Linked DNA regions of Drosophila melanogaster. The protein of the gene in region 2 purifies or fractionates together with the protein of the main gene of each other region. This does not show direct contact. Each region holds a gene or a part of one and is shown on either strand. Other genes may lie near its edges.

Region 1 (3,754 bases), 4.3 Mb from region 2:
TGGTTAATATTTACCCGTAGGTGGTGCGTTTTATGTAGCCAATTCGTTCGGCCAATTTCTTAGCCACATTTATGTCGTTGGGTGCCCCTTTCAGAATGGCGAATCCTTGGACTGCCAGTGCCTCAAGCCAAACTCTCAGGGCTGCATCTTGCTCCAGCACATCCTCGTATTGGAATTCTCTTTTCACATCCTCGAACTCCGTTTTTCCCCAGAGTTGAGCGGGTGGCTTGTAGACCTCCTCCAAGTAATGCTTTCTGCCAGTCTCTCCAAAGTCCCTTTCCCTCAGCCAGCCTAGATCGAAGGTGCTCCTGTGCTTGTCCTGCCAGATGATCTCCAACTGTTTCCTCTCCTTGTTGTAGGCCACTTGGGACACTGGTATATTCAGCGGGCCACGATCCCAGTGACTTTTTCTTGCTCTTGTGGCGGCGTGGAAGCACTCGGCACACTGACAGTTGTCCCTAAGCCAAACTTGGGGGTACTTCAGGAGATTGCCCTGCTCCTCCTGGACTTCTACATAGTCGGGGCATAGTCGCACACAAGCAAATGTGCTCGCCTGCCGAAGAAGGCTCAGCCGAGAAATAAGTTGCCTACAGCTAAGCATTCCAGGCTCAACTGCCGAGCAATCAGGTGATGGCACAACAGGCAGGCTGGCTGATAAGCAAAGCTTCAGCTTATCGCTCGTCTTTCTCTTTGGGGAGCGAGACCACTTGCACTATGGATTGCGGCTGCTCCAACCAGCAGTCTCTTTGACTGTTCGCCGCAAAGCTTCGCCGGCCGCAGCAGAGTGAGCACTCTAAGAAAAAAGAGACCTGTTCAGTACTTTCTTGGATTTGCTCCTCGGATTCCTCCTGGTTGGTGTTCCCTGTTTTCCGGCTTCTGGGCTTCTTGCGCTGCCTGCGATGGCGCTTTTTCTTCGTTTTGACTGCTCCGTTCGATTGAGCTTGTGCATCAGTCTTGGCCTCCTGTGCTCCTTCCTCCACATGCAGCTCCGTATTCACTCCGGGAATCAGGGGAAGGAAACAGCGCCTGCACAGGGAACGCTTCACGGCCGGGGCCCTTGAAACCAGTTGACGCCATGAATTATTTGCCCATACTCCACTGGAGAAGCCACTTACATGTGCATGATAGCCTTGGTGCCCACATTGCGGCAGAGTTTGCCATAATAGGCGGCCAATTTTGGTTGATTGCCTACTGCCATTAAATTCGAGGCCTGGAACAGGTAGTTCATGCGTGAGGAGATGGCCCGCTGGGTCAGGTGCTTCATCTTGTTGTCCCTGCTCATATTCTGAGGCTTTTGTCGCACAAAGCTGGTCGACTGGTAGACTTTCGTTTTTGTGGCAATTCAAAACACATGGGCGTCGCGGTGTGACCGTATCTGGAGCGCCAAGATATTGCTCCTACTGCAATAGCAGCAACTGCAAAGAGCTCTCAAAATTCAACATTATGTGATTATAATTTCGGTTTTTGGCAGCTCAAAATTTCTGGAAATTCGCAGAATATTCTTTTCCCAGCAACGATTGTATTTCCGCGCCATTCCATTATTTCACACTGGTCACACTGGCTAAGCCAGCTGTTTCCCGCGTTTTTGATTCGCCAATTGCGATTGCCAGAAAAGCAAAAGTGGAGCGGCAGTGGGAAGCTGGAAAATAGCGCAAGCCGCAGGGAAACCCTCAAAATGCAACGCACTGCACTCATGTAGAATTCTACTTTGCATCGTAAGCGATTGGAAAGAGACCGTTGTGTCTAGACGTAGACAGATTAGGCAGACGATTGGGATTCCCGCCAGAAGTGTTCACCATGTTTGTCCAGGATCTGCGCAACGACTTTTACCGCCAGCTGGTTGGCAAGCGCATCTTGATCGTGGTCAACTACGACATCGATGCCATCTGCGCCAGTCGCATCCTGCAGGCCTTGTTCAAGTACGATCACATGCTGTACACCGTGGTGCCCATAATGGGCGTTACGGGTCTGAAGCGGGCCTATGGAGAGCACCAGGGCGACGTTAAGTACGTGGTGTTGGTGAACTGCGGCGGCTGTGTAGATATTGTGGAGCTCCTGCAGCCGTCGGACGACGTGACCTTCTTCATATGCGATTCACATCGCCCGTTGGATGTGTGTAACATCTACAGCGATCGGCAGGTGTGCATCTTGGGGGATGCCTCCTTGGAGGAGAATATTCCAGCGTTCGAGACAATTTTCTATGACTCTGAAGGTGAAGACGAGGATGAGGACGAGTCCTCTGACACGGAACAGCAGCACGACGACAGTGGTGCCGGGGAATCGGACCAGGAGGATCAGGCGCCAAGGAGCCGTAAGCTCAGTCGCCTGGAGCGGCACGAGCAACGCATCCTGAAGCAGCGAGCCCGCCGACAGTGGGAGTCTGAGCGCGACAGGATTATGTTCGAGTACACGCAGTTCAGCTACTACGGCAGGTCCGCCGCTTTGATGGTTTTTGAGTTGGCCTGGAAGCTCTCAAAAGACAACATGGACCTGCTCTGGTGGGCCATTGTGGGCATCACGGAGCAGCTGCTGCTGGGCAAGATCGAGAGTGGAGCGTATACTTTGGAGCTGGAGCAAATCCAGTCGCATGTGTCCCGACTGACGAACAAAACGAATGATCAGAACACGATGAGTGCCTCCAAGATAACCTTCGAGAATGATTTGCATCTGGTCTTGTACCGCCACTGGCCCGTCACGGAATCCATGAGGTGAGCATTGACAGTGTATTCTATGCCATTTAATCATGTAGTATAATCGTAGGTATTCCCGCTACTCCTCATGCCAGCTGAAGCTGTGGACACTGCGCGGAGAGAAGAGATTACACGAGCTGCTGCTCGAGATGGGACTTCCCTTGGTGCACGCCCGCCAAACGTACGGAGCCATGGATTTGGTGTTGCGCAAGGAGTTCTTCTCGATGGTGGAGCGCCTGGCGGAGAAGTACGACATAGCGGACATAGTTTACGGCACCTTTACGCTGAGCTACGGCTACCGCAGCAGATATGCTGCGGCGGACTACGTTTATGCCCTGCTCGCCATCATGGAGTCCGTGAAGAAGCACAAGACTCCGGAGGATTGCTTTCTGGAGGCCTCGGATGCTTTGAGTCGTCAGCACAAGCAGCTGCTGTCTGCAGGCATCGACCAGGCGAAGCTTTTGCATGCTGCTGTCTTTCGGCAGGTGCAGAGCAGCTTGGAGGCACGCCAAGTTCATTCAGCGGGCTCCTTTTTCTACTACGTTCTGCAGGAGGAACACGCGTTCTTCTCATACCCCTATGCCCTTGGACTGTTGGCTCGCTTTCTTTTGCGCGGACATGTGGCCACGAGTAGAGCCAGGCAGGCTTCGGACTTGCCGTTGATCGCAAGTTGTCCCCTGAACGCTTCGGAGGGCATGTGCTTGCTGGTAGGCATTGTCCCGGTAAGGGAAGACTCTCCGCGAAACTTCTTTGGCAAGGCCTTCGAGCAGGCGGCGCAAAAGAGTGGAGTCGCTCTATTGCAGGACTTTTTCGAGCCAGCGGTGGTGCAGCTGCGGCAGAGCGACCTCACACGCTTTCTGGACTCCCTCACGGTGCTGTTAGCCTAATCCACGCCGCTTTCTATTCTACCTGCTACCGACACATCCCTGCTCAATCATATTATGTGCTAAGCTAGTTTTATATCGCGAGACCTCACGTGTACACTTAGTTTAAGATTTTACCAAACCCTATTTATGTACGATTGTGTGTTAATAACTTTATCATTGCTCCCAGGACCACAAAAT
Region 2 (3,754 bases):
ATTTGATCCACATCGCTGTCAATCACGTCCAGCATAACGAAGAGCAAATCGAAACGCGAAAGCAGCGAATCCTGCAGTCCAATATTTTCCATCGGCGTCTTATATTGATCATACTGGAATTGAAGACGAAATTAGCAAGAAAAGCGATGAACAGACGGATTCGGATGGACTCTTACCCTTCCGTACACCGGATTAGCGGCTGCCAAAACGGAGCAGCGAGCATTGAGCGAGGCATGGATGCCCGCTTTGGAAATGGTAACACGACCCTGTTCCATCACCTCGTGAATGGCTGTGCGATCGATGTCGCTCATCTTGTCAAACTCATCAATGCAGACGACACCGCGATCGGCCAGGACCATGGCGCCCGCCTCCAATCGCCGCTCACCGGTCTCCTGATCCGTGGTAACCGCCGCCGTCAGACCGACGCCGCTGGATCCGCGACCCGTTGTCGGTATGGCCCTTGGTGCCGTATTCAAGACGTAGCGCAGTAGCTGCGACTTGGCCACCGAAGGATCGCCGATAAGCAAGACATTAATATCGCCACGCAGGCGTGTGCCATTCGGCAGGATCTTCTCAACGCCGCCGAGCAGCAGGCAAAGAATGGCCTGCTTCACATAGGCATGTCCATGAATCGAGGGCGCCAAACTCTTGCTGAGCAGCTCGAAGATGTCGTTATTCTTCGCTAGCTTCTTGCACAGCATGATGTCTTCGCGCGATATGTCCAAATTGCTCTCCTTGCTGAGCAGCGATATATTGTTGGCCAGCAGCACGGTGCGGAACGTGCCCGAGGTGTAGCCACCGCGTTTGCCCGGCAAACAGCGATAGCTGCCCACAATCTGTACACGATCGCCGGGCTTGCAGCGATCCACGAGATCGTCGTCGCACACAATATCCACCGAACGCGGCAATTGGCCAGCCGGCGCCTTCTCGGGCATCTCTTGAATGGTCAGCGTCTGGTGATCCTTGTAAACGGACAAACCGTATTCGGTCTCCAGCAGATTGCCATCCTCGTCCTTTGTGGGATAGGCAGCGCCAGATGGCACAGCCTCGAACGATGTGAGATCGGTGTATTTGCGCTCCATTACCTTACGCGTATTGGGGCAATAGTGAACGCTGCGCACCACCTTGGGACGAATCAGCGATACCTTGGTAACAATGCCCTCCACGCACACCATGTTGCCCAGATAGATGGAGGTGAGGGAGCGCGGCGTCACATGCCGATTGCCAAAGCAGCCCTCGAAGCCGACAAACAGATCCTCATGCATTTTGGCATAGCCCGGATCAACCGTGGACGCATACTCCTTGAGCGCCCTGCCAAAGGCCAGCTGCTCATCCGCCGCGTTGCTCAGTAGCCCCAATGCACGTTGCGGATTCTTGCGTTTTAGATCGTTGACATTCACGATCAGGCGCTTGCTCTTCTCCGCGATCATATCCTTGACGTGGCCCGCATAGATGCCCTGATCCTCCTCGTCGTCCAGAAAGTCCACATACTCGCGTTGTATGTCCTTGATGAACTGCTCCCCCTCGTGGGCCATTCTGTGACTTAAGCTGTACACTGGAGTTCACAAAACTTCTTTCGATTTCGCTTATGGATCAACTTCGATCCGTTCGGAGGCAAACGCAAATGCAAACAAAACTAATGTCGCAAATTGCACGCCGAATGCAAAGTTTTTTCGCGGGAAAAGCGTAGTGTGACCATACTGTGGGCATTTGAAGACTGGTTGCGCGGGCAAAATATATATGCTATAATTATTTCCTTTTTTTATATATTTACATATAATTATTAACTTTATTATATAAAACATAGTGGACATAGCAAACTAACTAATATAAGCAAATATACGTTGATATGCAAATTTATAATTAAAACGTTTCCACCGAACATCTGACTTAATTTGTAATGCATACAATATAGAAAACTATCAAATAATTCCTATAATAGTAGTATATATTTATTATCTGCCTAATTAATATCTACATTTAATCCATTGCTATAATAGTAAAATATATTTATTATTTGCTAAATTACTGTCCACACTTAATACATTCCTATAATATATACAATATATGTATTATGTGCCTAATTACTGTTTAAACTTAATCCATTCTTATAATAGTATTATATATTTATTATTTGCTTAATTATTATATAATATATAATATTATTACACTTAAACCATTCTTATAATAGTATAATATTTGTATTTATTATTTGCCTAATTATTATTATATTATTATTACTATATCCTATAATATATACAATATATGTATTATATGACTTATTACTGTTTACACCTAATCAATTCCTATTATAGTATTATAGTATATAGTAATATATTTATTATTTGCTTAATTACTGTCCACACTTAATCCATTCATATAATGGTATAATATTTTTATTATTTGCCTGAGTACTGTCTACACTTAATCCATTTATGATGTGGCTGCGTATTAAATAGTTTATTATTATTAAATAGTTTGTGTAAAAGAAACAGAAATTGTTTACATTTTATGATACATATATATATAGCACTTAAGTAAAATAAATTCCATTTTTATTTATTTCTATAAAATATATATATGTTTAAAATAAATTATATTTCTTGGTAGGATTTAGTTTATCATTTGACTTTGCTATACATTTCTGACCGCCCAAAGAAACCAGTTAATATTGACCACATATTACCGAAATTAGTCTTCAAATTGCTCATCACGAGTCTTCACTGCACTGCTGGTAACACAGCCATTGTCTGGACTGCCGCAACTATCGAGTGCGCACAGCTATCGATATTACGCACTGGTCACACTGTTATAACGAAAAAAAAATTCGCATATTATTCACACTTTACCGGTGTTTCTTGACAGAAAATGATAAGTTTTCGTTAACCGAATTCTCAGAAAGTAAGTGCTTGGAAAGTTTTTCCAAGAAAAAGTGCCCAATAGGGAAACCAAACCTGAAACCAAATAATTTTCCACGATAAGCGCAACAACGCGATATTAGATTGGCCAGCCCTGCGTTTGCGGTTTTTTTTTTGTTTTTTTATTTCCTGTATTTTTTTTGGGGGGGAAAAATTGCAGTTCCACGGAAAGCGAAAAGTTTTCCACCAAAATAAACGGTTGAAGCATGGACGCCGACAAGCAGGTGAGTGTCAGATTATAGCTCCAATAGGCGCCGCCCTTATGCGTATGCCCAATATATTGCAGCTGGAAAGGCAGCTGGAGAAGGAGCTGGACGAGATGCCGGCAGAGGATTTGGACGACGATGCGTATGACGAGTATGATCTGATCGTGATACCCGATCAGGGCAAGGGCTCGCCGCAGCAGGGGCACAGTGAGTCGCCGCAGCAGGAGGAGGAGCACAAGTCGGAGGAGCTGCGCCAACGATCGCGCCCAACCTGGCCACCGTCGTCCGCCGGCGGGGATATGACCACCATTGAGTTGATCTCATCGGACGACGAGCCGTCAGTGGAGGAGACTGAGGGAGGCAATGCCGCTGGCCGTGGCAGAGCGCGCAATGATTCCAGCAGCAGTAGCGATGATGTGGGCGTGATCGAAGGCTCGGAATTGGAATCGAACAGTGAGGTGTCCAGTGACAGTGACAGTGATAGCGACAACGCTGGCGGCGGAAATCAGCTAGAGCGCTCGTATCAGGAGCTGAATGCGTTGCCCAGCAAAAAGTTTGCCCAAATGGTCTCGCTCATTGGAATCGCATTGTGAGTTTGCCTGCTTCTCCCACTCCCATTTTCCATTTTTT
Region 3 (3,346 bases), on a different chromosome or scaffold from region 2:
CAGCGAGTTCTTGCCGTCCTGCATGGCACCAGACTTGGTCCTCTTGCCCGTCCTGGTGAAGTCGGTCTTGAGCGCACACGTTCCGGAATATTGTAGCGACACCAGATCCGCGTTGTCCGCCCACACGCCCTTGAAAATGCTCTCGAAAATGTCGGAGGCATGTTCCACTTTCTGGCCCACATGAAGCACTCCCAGCTTCTGGAGCACCGCAGTGAGGGACCTGCGGGCCAGCATGCTCTGCACGACGTTCGTCCTATCGAGACAGTCGATACAATTCGTTCGGAAGACACCAGTCTGCGTGGACACCAATTTGCCGTCGTCGAAGACATGATAGACACCGAACTGATCCTGCTCATGGGCGAGGCGATCGATGAGTATGTTCAGCCGGTCCCAGCGCATCTTACGGCACTCGCTGTGGAAGTCGAAAGACTCGTATCGCACTTGTGGATTTCCCATTTCTCGAACCAGGCGGGCATAGGTCGCCTCGAGCTCGCCTTCGGCACCTTTGTGATCCACTAGATTCACAGCCACATTGTTGCCATACAGCCGGATCTGTTCCTTAAAGTGGAGCCCGCAGGCGGCCAAATGATCCTTGCCCGGCACCAGAACGGGTCGTGGCTTATAGCGCAAATTGGGCAGCTGGTGCCAGTGGAAGGGCATGCTGCCTCGTGTCTGCACGAATCCAGTCAGCTGCCCGTTGAACTCCACTATTTGCTCGGTCTCTACGAAGTTCGCAACATGGCCCTGCTCGTCGCTGCCTCGGCAGAAGAGCCGTGTGCCCGCCCGCTGCACGGAACGCCTGGTGATGATGCTCCAGAAGAATGTCTGCCCGTTGATCTGCACCTGGTTGATAGACACGAAGCCCAGGACGAGTGGCAGCTGGAACTTCTCCATCTTATCGCAGTTGAACTGCCGCAGCACATAGCCATTCCAAACGAATCGCTGCTCAGCGCGCTGGAGCAACCCGGATACTTCAGGCCGCGATTGTGCCACCTCCCGCTGTCGCTGCAGCGAATTGGTAAGGTCGTAGCGGTAGGAGAAGTAAAAGAACTTGGTGTCAAGTGTCTGGCGTAGCAGTCGCAAGTAGTTTTCGTTCTCCTTGCGCTGGAAGGAATTCGGAATGTAAGGTATGATGTCATAGCCCGCTAATCTCCACACAACTGCGCCATTGAGCACGCCCACGAAGAGGCGGTGGGTCGCCACCAGAAGGTAGTCGCAGCTCAGTAGGTGAATGGTTCCCAGCACACCACAAATCCTCCTGGTGGGGCGAAGGTTGGCCACAAGACCTCCGCTCGCTGGCTGAACCCTGGTGACTTTGTCGTGGCGCCCGATGACCAGCAACTCATCTCCTCCATTCGGCTCGATGATGAAGCTCTGCGGTGCGATGTACAGGTTCATGTCATCGTACACGGCGTTCTCCTCCCTGCTGTCCATGATTTCCGGGGGCGGTGGCTGGCCCACTTCGAAGACTAAGGGTTAAAAATGGGATAAGGGTTAATAGCTATAGCCAGTGCTGCTTCCTCTTTCTCTGCTCACTTCCTGTAATCGGGGATTCACTGTCGCTATCACCGCTGTCACACACGCACAGCACCAAAATCAGCCACACAATCAGGAGGTTACTCGTTCTTTATTGATTTAACACACAAATTGCAGTTCATCTGATTTTTGGGCCAACTCTTTGCCACTACGTGTGTGATAGGGATGGACCAGTTGGCTAAATAGCCGAATAGCGAATAGCTAATATATTCGATACTTTAAGATGTTCACACCCACTTACTTGCATGTGGTACTCCACTCCCGCAGTTGCACCAATCTAACCAGGATGGCATTTCCTCTTAGGACGGCATAATTTGGGCCTCGTAAGCTAAATTTTGATAAATCACCGTTTCAAATCTATTTTAAAGGAACATGGCTACTGAGGATGAAATTTTTGTTATTTTTTGAAATATACCAAAAGAAATACCAAGTATCGATACCACAAGTCGACGAACATTTTGGCGCGAATCCATCACTAGATCCCCAAACCAAAGAAAAACAGAGAGGATCAACAATGAGCCGACAAACAAAAATGTTCGGCGAGAAAGCCTTCGACCTGCTAAAAGAACTGGAGAGATCGTCGCAGACAATTCCCGCCTTCGACGACGATGGGGTGCGCCAGGTGCTGGAGGAGATCAAGGCGATATTCGAGGAGAACGTGGCCCAGGCCTCCAGCTACAATGCTTCCGGGGATCGCAGTCTGTGGCCCCTGCTCAACTTCAGGCACGCAGCTCTCCAGAGGAACAAGAGGTGCCTGCTGGCCTACCTATACGAGCGGTGCAGGAGGATCAAGGCCCTCAGGTGGGAGTTTGGACCCATTATCCCCGGGGACATCAAGCAGGCACTCTGCGAACCGGAGGTCACCTTCTTCAACAACTACTCCAAGTCCCTGGCTGCCTACATGTGCAGTGCGGGCTACAACCAGGGCTTGCCCATTGATCTAACCAACAATCTGCGTCCGCCCAAGTCACTTTACATCGAGGTGCGCTGCATGGAGGACTATGGGAAGTTCGAGCTGGACGACGGCGAGGTGATCCACCTGAAGAAGAACAGCCAGCACTATCTGCCCCGAGCTCAGGTGGAGTCTCTCGTGAGGCAGGGCATTCTTCACCACATAGCCTAGTCGGGATTATTTGATAATAAGAGTTTACTATACATATTTAATGGTTTAATGTAGAACAAATAAAAGATAAAAAATTATTTAATTCAAATAATTTGAACATTCTGTAGTTTTCCAATACTTGTATTTTTCGATGTTGGTATTTTCAGGGTGCCGTGTTGCGGTCACACTATTTGCGCATTATTTTAAAATTGAACGGACAACTGAAGACGCTGCTTCTCTCTGTTCTCATTGGAAATAGTGCGAAAATTGGTTTTCCACGCCAGCCTTCTGTAAATAGTAGTTACAGTTATCAGCATTCGGCTCGGTGGAAGGTGAAGCACAAGGATTTCCAGGAATCAAACACACACACACACGCATACCGATACACGCGACAGGCGTCATTTTTTGGACTGTACGCGCTAAAACCACAATTAATTGTTTCAATTGATCAATATGGACATATCTGGTGGGAATACGTCGCGCCAGCCCCAAAAGAAGTCCAACCAAAACATCCAGGTGTATGTGCGCGTCAGGTGAGTTTGTATATGTAACCAAAACCCCTTAAAAAGATCTACATATATCTTCTATATCTTTTGTAGACCCCTTAATTCTCGGGAACGTTGCATCCGCTCGGCCGAAGTCGTGGATGTGGTCGGACCACGGGAAGTGGTCACCCGCCACACGCTGGACTCCAAGCTCACCAAGAAG

What was found.
Region 1: the proteins of Mcm3 (region 2) and Cdc45 purify together in Drosophila melanogaster (affinity purification with western blotting; 5 studies listed by BioGRID, with this or other methods). This does not show direct contact.
Region 3: the proteins of Mcm3 (region 2) and Psf1 purify together in Drosophila melanogaster (affinity purification with western blotting; 2 studies listed by BioGRID, with this or other methods). This does not show direct contact.

The regions. Positions count from the first base shown.
Region 1 is NC_004354.4:1,028,371-1,032,124, reverse strand, and holds the start of Cdc45 (cell division cycle 45), read left to right. Parts: upstream 1-1,568; 5' UTR 1,569-1,797; coding exon 1,798-2,708; intron 2,709-2,760; coding exon 2,761-3,577; 3' UTR 3,578-3,754. Other genes in the region: CG14630 (uncharacterized protein), read right to left, coding at 15-601; Rpp21 (ribonuclease P/MRP subunit p21), read right to left, coding at 672-1,056, 1,116-1,282.
Region 2 is NC_004354.4:5,321,778-5,325,531, reverse strand, and holds the start of Mcm3 (minichromosome maintenance 3), read right to left. Parts: upstream 1,678-3,754; 5' UTR 1,536-1,677; coding exon 177-1,535; intron 114-176; coding exon 1-113. Other genes in the region: Rnp4F (RNA-binding protein 4F), read left to right, coding at 3,125-3,142, 3,205-3,713. UniProt on the Drosophila melanogaster protein: Acts as a component of the Mcm2-7 complex (Mcm complex) (Mcm complex) which is the putative replicative helicase essential for 'once per cell cycle' DNA replication initiation and elongation in eukaryotic cells.
Region 3 is NT_037436.4:1,246,379-1,249,724, reverse strand, and holds Psf1 (partner of Sld five 1), read left to right. Parts: upstream 1-2,047; 5' UTR 2,048-2,050; coding exon 2,051-2,659; 3' UTR 2,660-2,739; downstream 2,740-3,346. Other genes in the region: Sac1 phosphatase, read right to left, coding at 1-1,434; CG32318 (uncharacterized protein), read left to right, coding at 3,092-3,171, 3,238-3,346.